Linked DNA regions of Elephas maximus indicus. The protein of the gene in region 2 interacts with the protein of the main gene of each other region in a biochemical or structural test. Links are inferred from orthologs where the notes say so. Each region holds a gene or a part of one and is shown on either strand. Other genes may lie near its edges.

What was found.
Region 1: the proteins of LGALS3BP (region 2) and LGALS1 form a complex in vitro, tested with the Homo sapiens proteins (2 studies listed by BioGRID). The link is inferred for Elephas maximus indicus from reciprocal best matches to the Homo sapiens genes LGALS3BP and LGALS1.

The regions. Positions count from the first base shown.
Region 1 is NC_064822.1:181,567,862-181,573,840, forward strand, and holds the start of LGALS1 (galectin-1), read left to right. Parts: upstream 1-2,802; 5' UTR 2,803-2,977; coding exon 2,978-2,986; intron 2,987-4,290; coding exon 4,291-4,370; intron 4,371-5,463; coding exon 5,464-5,635; intron 5,636-5,911; coding exon 5,912-5,979. UniProt on the Homo sapiens protein: Lectin that binds beta-galactoside and a wide array of complex carbohydrates. Plays a role in regulating apoptosis, cell proliferation and cell differentiation. Inhibits CD45 protein phosphatase activity and therefore the dephosphorylation of Lyn kinase.
Region 2 is NC_064837.1:68,868,776-68,874,754, reverse strand, and holds the start of LGALS3BP (galectin-3-binding protein), read left to right. Parts: upstream 1-2,382; 5' UTR 2,383-2,509; intron 2,510-4,395; 5' UTR 4,396-4,417; coding exon 4,418-4,469; intron 4,470-5,158; coding exon 5,159-5,350; intron 5,351-5,979.

The DNA of each region.
Region 1 (5,979 bases), on a different chromosome or scaffold from region 2:
CAGTGGAGTGCCCCCTGTTGAGCCCTACTGAGCCCTCCCTAGACTGAGGTTTTGGGGAGGACCCGGAGGAAAAAGCGAAGCTGCTGCGGTTGGTTAGTAAGCCAGCCAGCTTGGTCTAGATGGGAGGGTACAGGCCCACAGGGGTGCAGCCCAGCCCCCTTTCAGGGCCAGCTTTGGCCCCACCAGGCCCCTCTCATCTTGCACCAGGGCGGACTTCAGTCATCTGGAGGAAGGGGCCCCGCCAGGTGGAGGCAGAGGAGGCGGGGCTGGGCGGCAGGGCAGGACAGGGCAGGGCAGGGTGGGTTTGCTGGCCCCGCAGCCAAATGTGAATCACCGCTAGGTCTGAATCTTCCTCCCTCTTTGGTGCTGGCAGCTTTGGAAAGGGGAGTATGGAGAAGGAGGTCCTCAACACCCCTCCAGCAACACTCCCCTTGACTAGTGCTCCCCACACCCCTCCCTCCACCTGGTTCCTGGGTGTGAGGTGAGCCCCCCTCCAGCCCACCCTCCACTCTATTGATAGTAATTTTCCCTGCAGCCCAAATCTGGTCCCAATATTCCCCTCCCTTTTTATAACCTACCCTATACGAAGAAGAGCTGGGCATCAGGATTGGAGGAAGATTCATTAACAACCTGTGTTATGCAGATGACACAACCTTGCTTGCTGAAAGTGAAGAGGACTCGAAGCACTTACTGATGAAGATCAAAGGCCACAGCCTTCAGTGTGGATTACACCTCAACATAAAGAAAACAAAAATCCTCACAACTGGACCAATGAGCAACATCATGATAAACAGAGAAAAACTGAAGTTGTCAAGGACTTCATTTTACTTGGATCCACAATCAACACCCATGGAAGCAGCAGTCAAGAAACCAAAAGATGCATTGCATTGGGCAAATCTGCTGCAAAGGACCTCTTCAAAGTGTTGAAGAGCAAAGATGTCACCTTGAAGACTAAGGTGCACCTGGCCCAAGCTGTGGTATTTTCAATTGCATCATATGCATGTGAAAGCTGGACAATGAATAAGGAAGACTGAAGAAGAATTGATGCCTTTGAATTGTGGTGTTGGCGAAGAATATTGAATATACCATGGACTGCCAGAAGAACGAATAAATTTGTCTTAGAAGAAGTACAACCAGAACGCCCCTTAGAGGCAAGGATGGCGAGACTGCGTCTTACATGCTTTGGACATGTTGCCAGGAGGGATGAGTCCTTGGAGAAGGACATCATGCTCGGCAGAGAACAGGGTCAGCAGAAAAGACAAAGACCCTCAACGAGGTGGATTGACTCAGTGGCTGCAACAATGAGCTCAAGCATAACAACGATTGTAAGGATGGCCCAGGACCGGGCAGTGTTTCGTTCTGTTCTGCATAGGGCTGCTGTGAGTTGGAACCAACTTGACGGCCCCTAACAACAACAGCAACATAACCTACTGTGGCTCCCCAGCACCCTCAGAAAATACAATGTCCAAGCTCTTTACCTGGCCCGCGAGGCCCTTCATGATCCAGCTCCTGTTGGCTTCCCAGCCTCACCCCCCGTCTCCCCCTACATCCCCTAAACTCCAGCCGTGCCTAGACGCTCACGTTCCCCAGGTCTGTGCTTCCTCACCTCCGAGCCTTTGCCCATGCTAGAATGCCACCTCCTTCATCCATCCTTCAAGACCCACCTTCTTGGCATCTGGACAGTCTCCAGCCCCCACGGCACTCGGGCCTGACTTCCCTTTAGCTCTCATCATACTCTTCATTTTTTTTTTTTTATTGTGGTGAAACTATACATAAGAAAACATACACCATCTCAACAATTTCCAATGGGCAATTCAGTGACACTGAGTACATTCTTCAAGTTGGGCAACTATTCCAATCTTCCTTTTCCCCAAATCATCCCAGCACCGTTGACATAAACTCACGGCCCCCTAAACCATGCTGCTTCTTAATCACGTTCATGGTTGGATTCTGCCTGGAGAGCGGCTCCATGGCAGGGACTGGGAGGGGTTCATCTTGAATCCTCAGAGGCCACCCCCGGGGCCAAGGCTTCAGGGGGTTGCTCAGTAAAACATCTGCTGTATGGATGGCAAAAGGAAGGACTGTGCCTGGCCTTGGTGGGGGAGATGTGCGTGGGGGTGCACAGAGTGGGGACCCCAGCCCCTCACAATCTGGTCCCCCTTGGGCCCCTCTCGGGCTGACACTCTCAGACAGCCTGGGCTGTCTGAGGAGCGCCAGCTGGCCCCTCACGAGGGCTGAAGCCTGAGGCCCGAGCCAGGGCTGGCGGCCTCAGGCCTGGCACCCAGCCCAACCTTTCTTTTTTTTTTTTTTTTTTTTTTTATAATCCAACCTTTCTTTAGCCCTAGTAAGGAACACAGGCAGCAGCCGCTATCTCTGCTTCCGGGGGAGGCCCGGGTGGGGCCAGGCCTCGTGGTTAATGGATCCTCCCACCTGCAGAGGCCCACAGAGCCGGCCACACCCTGGCCCCTGCCAGGAAGCGTGCAGCATCACCTACCCAAGCTCCAGTCACTGAAGGACCTGCATCCCCTCAGCCATCTTCTCTGGGTACCCCCAAGCTCAGCCTGCTGGCCCCAGGCCCCCTTCCCGCCAACTCTTGGGCCTAGCTCATCCTCAAACTATTTTCCATTGGCTTCCTGCAATCCCTGCCACAGCATAATTCTGGGGGGATGGGGTGGGATGGAGGAGGAGACTAGGGAATGGAGCTTGGACCCTGGGGGTGTGGCTAAAAAGGGGTTGAGGGGGTGTCACTCTGATTGGTCCTCTCTGCTCCAGAACTGGCTTCAAAATTCCACTGACCCCGCCTCTGGTGGCCCACAGCCATGTCCTGACCTCCAATTGGCCACGCTTCCAGGGGGCGGGACTCACCAGGGTCTGGTCCAGTTAAAAAGGTGGGAGCGGCCCGGGACCCATCTCTCCTCTCGGTGGAGTCTTCAGACAGCTGGTGCAGCGGTCCCAGGATCACCTTCTACCCTCAGCCATGGCCTGTGTGAGTGTGGGTGCCCCACCCCAAAGCCCAGGGAATGAGATGGGAGCAGTGGGCAGATCAGAAGGTCGGGTCTAGTTGTATCTGTGTGATCTTAAGCAAGTACCTTCGGTTTTCTGGGCCTCAGTGGCCATGTCTGTAAAATGGAGGTGGGTGCTATGGTCCCCAAAGGCCCTCTGGAGCTTAAGAATTTTCTGGATTTCTCTGGGGCCTGACAGCACAGTTATTTCTGCCTAGGTCTTACATTCTGCAGCTCTGTAGCTCTCTGAGAAGTGAGAGTGGAAGGGTGTGGCCAGCTGGGGGGGGGTAAGATGGCACATTGGTGACGTCCAGGCACTGTCCTCTTCCCCTCCTCCACCTCCAAGAGCCTCCTGTCCCCTCCCCCCTGCAGCTGTCTCCAGTCACCACGCCAGGACAGAGTCAGGCCTCTGCTCCAAAGAGCTCTGAAAAGTCAGAGCCAGGAGCAGAGACAGGCTGCTGGGGAGGGAGCCTGCTTGGGCTGAGGGGATGAAGGATGGTTCTGGCCCCGCTGAAAAAAAGTGGGGCTGAATTTCAAGCCACCCACTCCCTCGAGGTGGGAGGTGGGGGATGGTAAGGGAGAGAGAAGGAGTGAATCTTCCCCAGGCCCCCAGGGAAAGGGTTCAAGTTTCTGGCAGAAGGAACCACTCATACCCACTAACTCCTGCCACCCAGCCTTGGGCACCACGGGTGGCATGCTAAGTGGGAGGGCAGCTCCACCCACCCCAAGCTTCCTGGGCTGCAGATTCCGGACCTTGTTTGTGCTCCCCACTCCTTTGAAGGGCCTGGCCATGCTCCTGGGGGTCTCCCACAGGGCCTTGAAGAGGATGACGGGGAGCCCCCAGTGGCGGCCATGGCCTCTTCAGAGGGGACCCACCTACCTTCATTTACCTTCCGTTGGACCAGGTGCCAGGAGCCCTACTATCAACTGCCCATCCCAGCCTGGTTCTCGCCCTCTGTTAAATGAGGAGATGGCATAGCACCTTGCCTCCAAGGCCACTCTGAACCCAATCCCCCGCCCCCGGAGCTGAACCTTAAAAAAAAAAAAATTTTTTTAAAGCTTATAAATCCTGTTTTCTAGAAGCTCACCCAGGTTACAGATAACAGACCCTGCTGGGCGTAGGGACTTAGCCAAGGCCACACAGGTTCCCAGACTCCCTAGGCTCCCAGTTGGCCTGGTCAGAGGATGCAGGGTGGGGACGACCCCCGCCCCCCGCCTCCGCCCGGGCAACTGGGGGCAGCGGAGTCCCGCGTCCTCTAACCGACCGGGCGGGGTCTTGTCTGCGCAGGGTCTGGTCGCCAACAACCTGAATCTCAAACCCGGGGAGTGCCTCCGAGTGCGGGGCGAGGTGGCCCCTGACGCCAAGAGGTGAGGGGGCCAGGCGGGGTGGCAGGAGGTCAGGGGGCCAGGCGGGGTGGCAGGAGGTCGGGGGCCAGGCGGGGTGGCGGGCGGAGGGGCGCTGCCCAGGGTCCAGCCGGGCGTGGCTGGTCTGGGCGTGGCCGCTGCGGCTCTGCTCCTCCTCCCGGCCCGGAGGGGGTCAACGTGGCCGCTGGCCGAGGCTGCGTTTTCTGGGTGACTCACTTTCTCCGCGGGGTCTGGGCGCCCCCGCCATTGTCGCTTCCCCTCCCCCCTTCCCCCTTAAACGAAACCAGCTGCAACCAGCTGCGGCCTCGTCATCTCCCTCGGCTTGGCCCCTTCCCCCGCCCTGGGTGGGCAGGGCTGTAGCTGGAGAGGGAGGGCAATGAGAGGTGTCACCCCCAGGGCCCTCCCTCTGTGGTCCTTCCTTCCTGCGTTTGCGTTTGGTCATTCATTCGCTCAATCTTTCCTTCCTCACCCCTTCCTTCACTCATTCATTTAGCCAGCTGGCCTGTTTTCTCAGCAGCGGAGTGACCTTGGACCAGTCAGCCAACCTCATCCAGTCTCAGTTTGTTCTTCAGTGAGACAAGGGGAGGTTGTCGGCTGAAAGGAATGCGATGCTGGCCATCTCAGTGACCAGGGTGATGATGTCTGGCCAGATACCCCAGTGCAGAAACTCTTAATTCTTACCAAACCCTTAGGTTATCTCCACTCCAACAAAGATATTATTTATTCATTCGCCCCACAATTATTGAGTGCCTTTTGTGTGTCATGTAAAGTACTGAGCACCAGAGATACAGAGACATACAAGGCAGACAGGACACTTGCTCCCTCCTGCCCCCAAATGTCGCCATCTGGAGGGACTCTCTGCCCTTGAGCAAAGGCACTGGGACACAGACTAGTGTCCATGAGAGTCTTGCGGCTGTCAGCAGAGCAAGACCTTTAGAGACCCTTCTTGGCTGCCCCCATTCTACAGATAAGGAAACAGACCCAGAGAGGGGCAGACTTGCTCCAGGTCACACAGCAAGTAGGTAGCAATGAGTTCTCCCAGGTAGCTGCACTCATGGTAGCACTGGGTGGAACAATCCTACCACTTTTCCCCTAGCTTCGTGCTGAACCTGGGCAAAGACAGCAACAACCTGTGTCTACACTTCAACCCTCGCTTCGATGCCCACGGGGACGTCAATGTTATCGTGTGTAACAGCAAGGATGGTGGGGCCTGGGGTACCGAGCAGCGAGAGTCAGTCTTCCCCTTCCAGCCTGGCAGCGTCGTGGAGGTGGGCTGGGGACCGGGGCCCGGGGGCTGGGCACTGGGTAGGCTGGGGTGGAGCTGGGTTAGTGGCTAGAGGCCCAGGCCTCGCCTACCATCTCCTCCCTCACTGTGTGATCTCCGGTGAGTGTCATCCTCAGCAGCCCCACCCGCAAAGCTGGGCTGTTGTAAGGGCTGCATGGAGGAAAGGGTAGGACACAGGCCGTGGCTGTGGCCGCAGCGCCAAGGCTCCCGCTGCGGGATCCACCCCAGGCCCAGCTCACTGCCCTTCCCCACCTGCCAGGTGTGCATCTCCTTCGACCAGGCTGACCTGAGCATCAAGCTGCCAGATGGATACTCATTCAAGTTCCC
Region 2 (5,979 bases):
TGGAAAACAGTCTGGCCGTTTCTTCAAAAGTTAAATATACATTTACCATATTGTTACCCAAAGCAGGTGCTGCTCGGTGCGACTTCTCAATAAAGACACGCCGAGGTGAGGAGCAAGGAAGAGCGTCTATTGCAAGCATGCAAGCAAGGACCGAGGAGGTTATCCTGAAATCAAGCTCGCTGAGCGAAGACAGGCAGAACATTTTATACAGACTCTTGCAAGGAAGTACATGCAAACGTTATGGACAGCATAGGTTATCATGGCACCCAGGCACAATTAGACAAATTGCATTTTTTTCCTCTGTCATGTAGGCTAGTAAACTGGCTTTGACTGGCTTGAGCCGCACCCAGTGCTTGGAGTACAGTGGACAGGAGGGACGGGTTTCAGCTGAGCCACACCCAGCATCTGGCTATCTTGACATGATCCAGTAACCTGACTCTTAGGTATTTACAGGAAAGATATAAAACATGTTCACACAAAGGCTTGCATCCAATTGTTCATAACAACTTTGTTCATGATAGTAAAAAAATAGAAAAGACCCAAATATCCATCAATGAACAAATGCCTAAACAAACTGCGATCTACCCACGTGACGGACTACTACTTCGCAAAAAAAATGAACACATTACTGATATTCACAGCACCACGGAGGAATCTCAAAAGCATTCTGCTACAAAAGATTACATCCTGTATGGTTCCATTTATATGAAATTCTGGAGCCCTGGTGGCACAACGATTAAGCGCTTGGCTGCTAACTGTGACATCGGTGTTTGGAACCCACCCAGGGGCTCCGCGGGAGAAAAGACCTGGGAATATTCTCCCATCAAAATTACAGTTTAGGAAACCCTGGAGTGCAGTTCTGCTTTGTCACATGGGGTCGTAATGAGTCGGAATCAACAACGAGGACGACATAGTGGCAGTAAGCAGAGCAGTGGTCGCCAGGGGCGGGGGCTGGCGAAGGGGATTGACCGCAAAGGATTTTAGAAGAGAACTTTTGAGGACAATGGAAATGTTCTTTATCACAGTGGTGATCATGGTCGTCAACTGTAGGCTTTGTCAAAGCTGAATGGATGTACACTTAAACTCCATGCATTTTATTGTTACGTAAATTATGTCTCAATAAAGAAAAAATGTGTGTTTGAATCCCAGCACTTCTTCACCTTCCAGCTGTGTAACCTGGGGCAGAGTATGTAACCTCTCTGTGCCTCCACTTCCTTATCTATTGCAGGGATAAGAAGAGCAGCTGCTTCCCAGACTGGCTGGAAGGATTAAGTGAACTCATCCCGGTCAAAGGTTTGCAGTGGAGCCTGGCTCAATAGATACTGGAGTCCCTGGGTTCTGCAAGGAAACCCCGATGGTGCAGTGGTTAAGAGCTATGGCTGCTAACCAAAAGGTCGGCAGTACAAATGCACCAGGTGCTCCTTGGAAACCGTATGGGGGCAGTTCTACTCTGTCCCATAGGGTCCCTGTGAGTCGGAATCGACTTGATGGCAACGGGTTTTGGTTTTGGGTTGTGCAAACAGTTAACGCATTCAGCTGTTAACTGAAAGATTAGGGGTTCGAGTTCCCCCACACCCGGCCATCTGCTCCCAAAACATCAGCCACTGATGGAGCACAGGTCTACTCTGACGCACATGTGGTCGCCATGAGGAGGAGTTGACTCCTTGTCAACTGGTTACCGGTCAAATATTAGCTATTATAGTCAGCACTCCCGCGTTCGGTGAGACGGAGCAGAAGCAAAAAAAAAAAAAGTGTCTCCAACAGCACCCAGCCTTTCTCCAGCAGCGCCTTGGGAATGGCTTCCCTGCCAGATTAGCCTCCAATGGTACCACCTTTGGGCCCTGCTTTCTTGAGGCCTCAACAGTCTTCTTATCAGAACCGAGCCAGCCCTCTCCCTCCCCGTCTCCCTGAAGCTATCATCTCACACCGCCCCTCCCCTCCCCCTCCTTAAGCACTTCCTTTTGGGGGTCTCAGGAGGTTGGAAAACCTTTGAGAGCCCAGGGGAGCCGATATTGGTGCTGGTTCTGGGATACGGCCTTGGGACTTTAAATTCCGCCTGCCTGGACCCCGCTCTGTCTGTCCCTAAAGTCTCCCCCAGCCCCCCCACCACATCTGCTGCTGCCCCCTCCTTCCCTCCCCCAGCACAGTGCCTGGCACATTGGTCCAGCTTGGAAGGTTGTCTAAATTCCGAAATAGTCATCCCTGTCTGGCTCTGGGAGTTGCTGCAGGTTACCAATTCAGCCAGAATCCATCCTTGGACTGCTGCCATTCCCAGCACCCACACTGGAGCTGAGAAAAGGAAGGGGCCCCAGGGACTCTGCGTGGCAGCCAACCCCTGGAGAAACACAGGTCATGTGATTCCTAGAAATTGAAACTGAACAGTTTCCTGAAGCATTTCCTGACCACGCTCCACACAGGAGGGTTTTTGAGCCCGAGGACAGGCCCACAGCAGGCTCCTGCAGCGGGAAGGCACAAGGCTCCAGGACAGCCACAGGAGTTACCTGGGCAGGTAAGCACCTGTCTCTCCTTGCTCCCAGGTGGGCACCCTTCTCTCTACACAGTGGGGGCCAAGCATACTGTGTACACAGACCCGGGGCTAGGGGCAGGGTGCTGCTCCCAGAAGATCCGCAGGGCCACCCCATACAGTTGGGCAGACTGTTCACTGCACGAGGCACCAGCCAAGGGGGCAGTGGCAGGGTAGCCTCTCACAGTCTGCGTGCTACCCTGACCCACCCGCCCGCAGGAAGCGCACCTTTGCCTGGTTTGCAGGCAGGTGACTTCCCACCACGCATTCACCTAGGGCTTGATTGGCCATTTCCTCATGGCCCTGAGCTCCTGTCCAGGCTATCCTAGGAGCAGGGCGGGTGACCAGTTGTTCTGGTGTGCCCAGTCACCTGGCCCTTCAGCCGTCTTCTGAGAAGACTGCAGTGAATCGAGGTTTGCCTTACTCATTAGCCTGTTTCAGTGGCTTTGCTTAGAAGCTTGTTAGCTATAAGACGTTTCTTGGTCACGGTCAGGATTCTGTGAGCTTGTGCTTTGAGCAGGGCTGGCACAGGTCACCCCTCAAAGCTTCCTGTGCCCCCTGGGGGTCTTATAAATGCAGGCATCCATGCCACATGTTGCCTCCAAGGTCACCAGGCCCTGATCTTGTCTCCGTGCTCAGCAGTGCCACAGTGGCCTGGTCCTTGGCCTGGTCCTGGGCTTGCTGGACAGCAGAGAGCAGTGCTAGGGGGCATCCATGATTCTTGCTGGGCCAGAGGGACGGTGACCTGTCCGGCCCGTTCACATGCACAGGATGTGGGGTGGGGAAGCAGGTTAGGATGTAGCCGGGGGCGACAGGCTGCTGCCAATGATGGAACGATCAAGAGTGGAGAAGAACGTGGAGACCAAAAGCCTGGTCCTCCCCAACCTTGCCCCCGCTGGCTGAGTGGCCTGGTGGTTCCACATCCCCAAGCCTTGGCTTCATGAGACAGTAGGCCAGCTGACCTCAGGGGGTCAGCAGCACCATGTCCATGCCGAGCCTGCTCACCATACTCCCCAAACCAGGGGTGGGTTAGCCAGCAAGCGCAGTAGGCGCTGGTTTGCAGTAAGCGAGGCGTGCACGGGCTTAATTGTGCTCACAGACTAATCTATAGTGAACAATTTCACATGAGTTTCACCAAATCTTTGGCATGGTATAAACCAGGTGAAGCTGTTCACTACAGATTAGTCAGTAAGCACAATTAAGCCTGTGCGTGCCTTGCGATCCCCGCCCCTGCCCTGTGCCCCTGTCCTGGCTCCTAATTCGGCCCCCTCCCCCCCCACACTGCGACCCCTCCTCTCCATCACCCCCACCCAACACCACCAGCCCACACTCCTCGCTGCCAGTGTTTCAAGCCTGGACTTCTGGGGTGCCTCCCGACAGGCCCCCTGCTCTGCACGCTGCAGCCAGGGAACCTTTGTCCCCTCAGTCACTGTGGGCATGCCTGCGAGGGTCAGTCACCTTTGTACACAGCCCTGGTTTCTAATGAGACTCACCGGGCCCTCACCATCTGGGCCCTGCAGAGCCGCACCCCCTCCTCAGCCCTCCTCATCCAACACCACATGGCAGCCACACACAGGCCCAGCATTGGGAGATACCCGCTGCCTGGACCCTCCAGCCCCCCCTCTTCACCTGGCTGAGTCTTACTCAGCCTGAAGACCAGCCCTCAGTTGGGGTGAGGGCTCTGCTGGGTCCCCACCTTCCCTGCGTCTCTCATGCTCACTGCCTGCAGAGGGCCCTGGAGGAGCAGGACCCGCAGGCCTCTTGGCTCCTTCCTAGCCTGGCACCTGGGCCTCAGCAGGTCAGGGCTGCAGGGGGCATGGCCCTGCTCTGAGGACCGCCCCCCCCCACCACCGTGTCTTCCTCTGCCATAGGATCGAGGCTCCAGGTACTGCCATGGCACTCCCTGAGCTCCTCTGGATATGGCTGCTCGTCGCAGGGACCCACGGTGAGCTGAACCCCTGGGAAGACGGGAGAAAACATCAGTTAAGCAGCTCTTCCTCCATCTGAGGCTACACTCCCGCCCTTCAGAAAATGCCAGCAAAGATTCTGCTGGTGGCCTGGGTCTCCCCTCCTGCTCAAAACCCCAGTTGTCCCTGGTGATGGGGGCTTGTGGGTTCTGGGCAGGAGGCCTGGGCTCCCCATACTCTCCCAGCACCCCTGCGGCACCCTTCTTGTGGGCCATCATGCTGGTGTGGGGCCTCCAGGAAGAGGAAGGGGCTCCCAGTCTCCCTGTGTGACTGTCTCCAGGCCCAACTACAGACACCACAGAGAGGATCAGCCTGGGCACCCTTCCCTGCCCCTCTTCCTGCCACCTGGCCACCTCTTCTCCAAGTGCTGGGCACAAAGGGGGGACCCCAAACACAAGGCTAGCTTACCTCTGTGTTGGGGGGTCTGTGAGTATCTCCTGCTCCTCCCCAGTGGGTGACCTCCCCCGAGGACGGGCAGGGGACTTCAAAGTGGCAAAACCAGACCCCCAGCTCACTGGTCAGCAGTTCAGCCCTAGGTGGACAGAGCTGCCACCATGAAAGCACACGGCCCGAGAGCAGTGGGCAGCAGATGGGCCTAGGGTGGGGCCAGGTGCCCTCCCATCATCCTGTCTGATCTTTGCTCCCCTCTGCCCCCACGAGCCTGCAGGCCTGGAGGACGGCACCATGAGGCTGGTGAACGGGGACTCGGCTAATGAGGGCCGCGTGGAGGTCTTCTACAGAGGCCAGTGGGGGACCGTGTGTGATGACGGCTGGGACCTGGACGATGCCCACGTGGTCTGCCGCGCCCTGGGCTTCGAGAATGCCACCCAGGTTCTGAGCAATGCTGCATTCGGGCAAGGTAGGGCCTCTGCTTCCGGGTCCTCCAGAGCCAAGGCCGCAGCCCACCTACGAGTCCACTTGGAGGGCACAGCAGACATCAGTGACACGCAGGCTTTCCTCCTGCTAATTGAACATCCGCTGACGTCTTCGGTGACGCCGAAGCCCTGCGGATAGGCTTTGATGGCTCTGGCTCACTCCTTCCGCCCTGGCCTCACAAAGGCTCCTAGGCACGGGGTTCAAGCGCTCAGCCACGTCCTTCCCCTCTGGCCAGAAACCCCGCGCCTGGAGATTTATCCCCGTGAAACAGTTTCCCCCAGAGGAACATCGTGTTTGTGATTCTGAAAAATTGGAAATGATTTAAATATTCAGCAATAGGGACAGTGGCACCAATTATGGAATGCTAATTTGACATCTGAAGGGGCCCTGGTGGTGTAAACGGTTAAGCACTCGGCTGCTAAATGAAAAGTCGGTGGTTCAAAGCCACCCAGTGGCTTCGTGGGACAAAGACCTGATGGCCAGCTTTTGTAAAGATTGCAGCCTAGAAAACCCTATGGGACAGCTCTGCTCTGTCGCATGGGGTCGCTATGAGTCAGAAATGACACGATAGTACACAACAACAAAGCAGTTTGATGTTTATGAAGCAGCCAT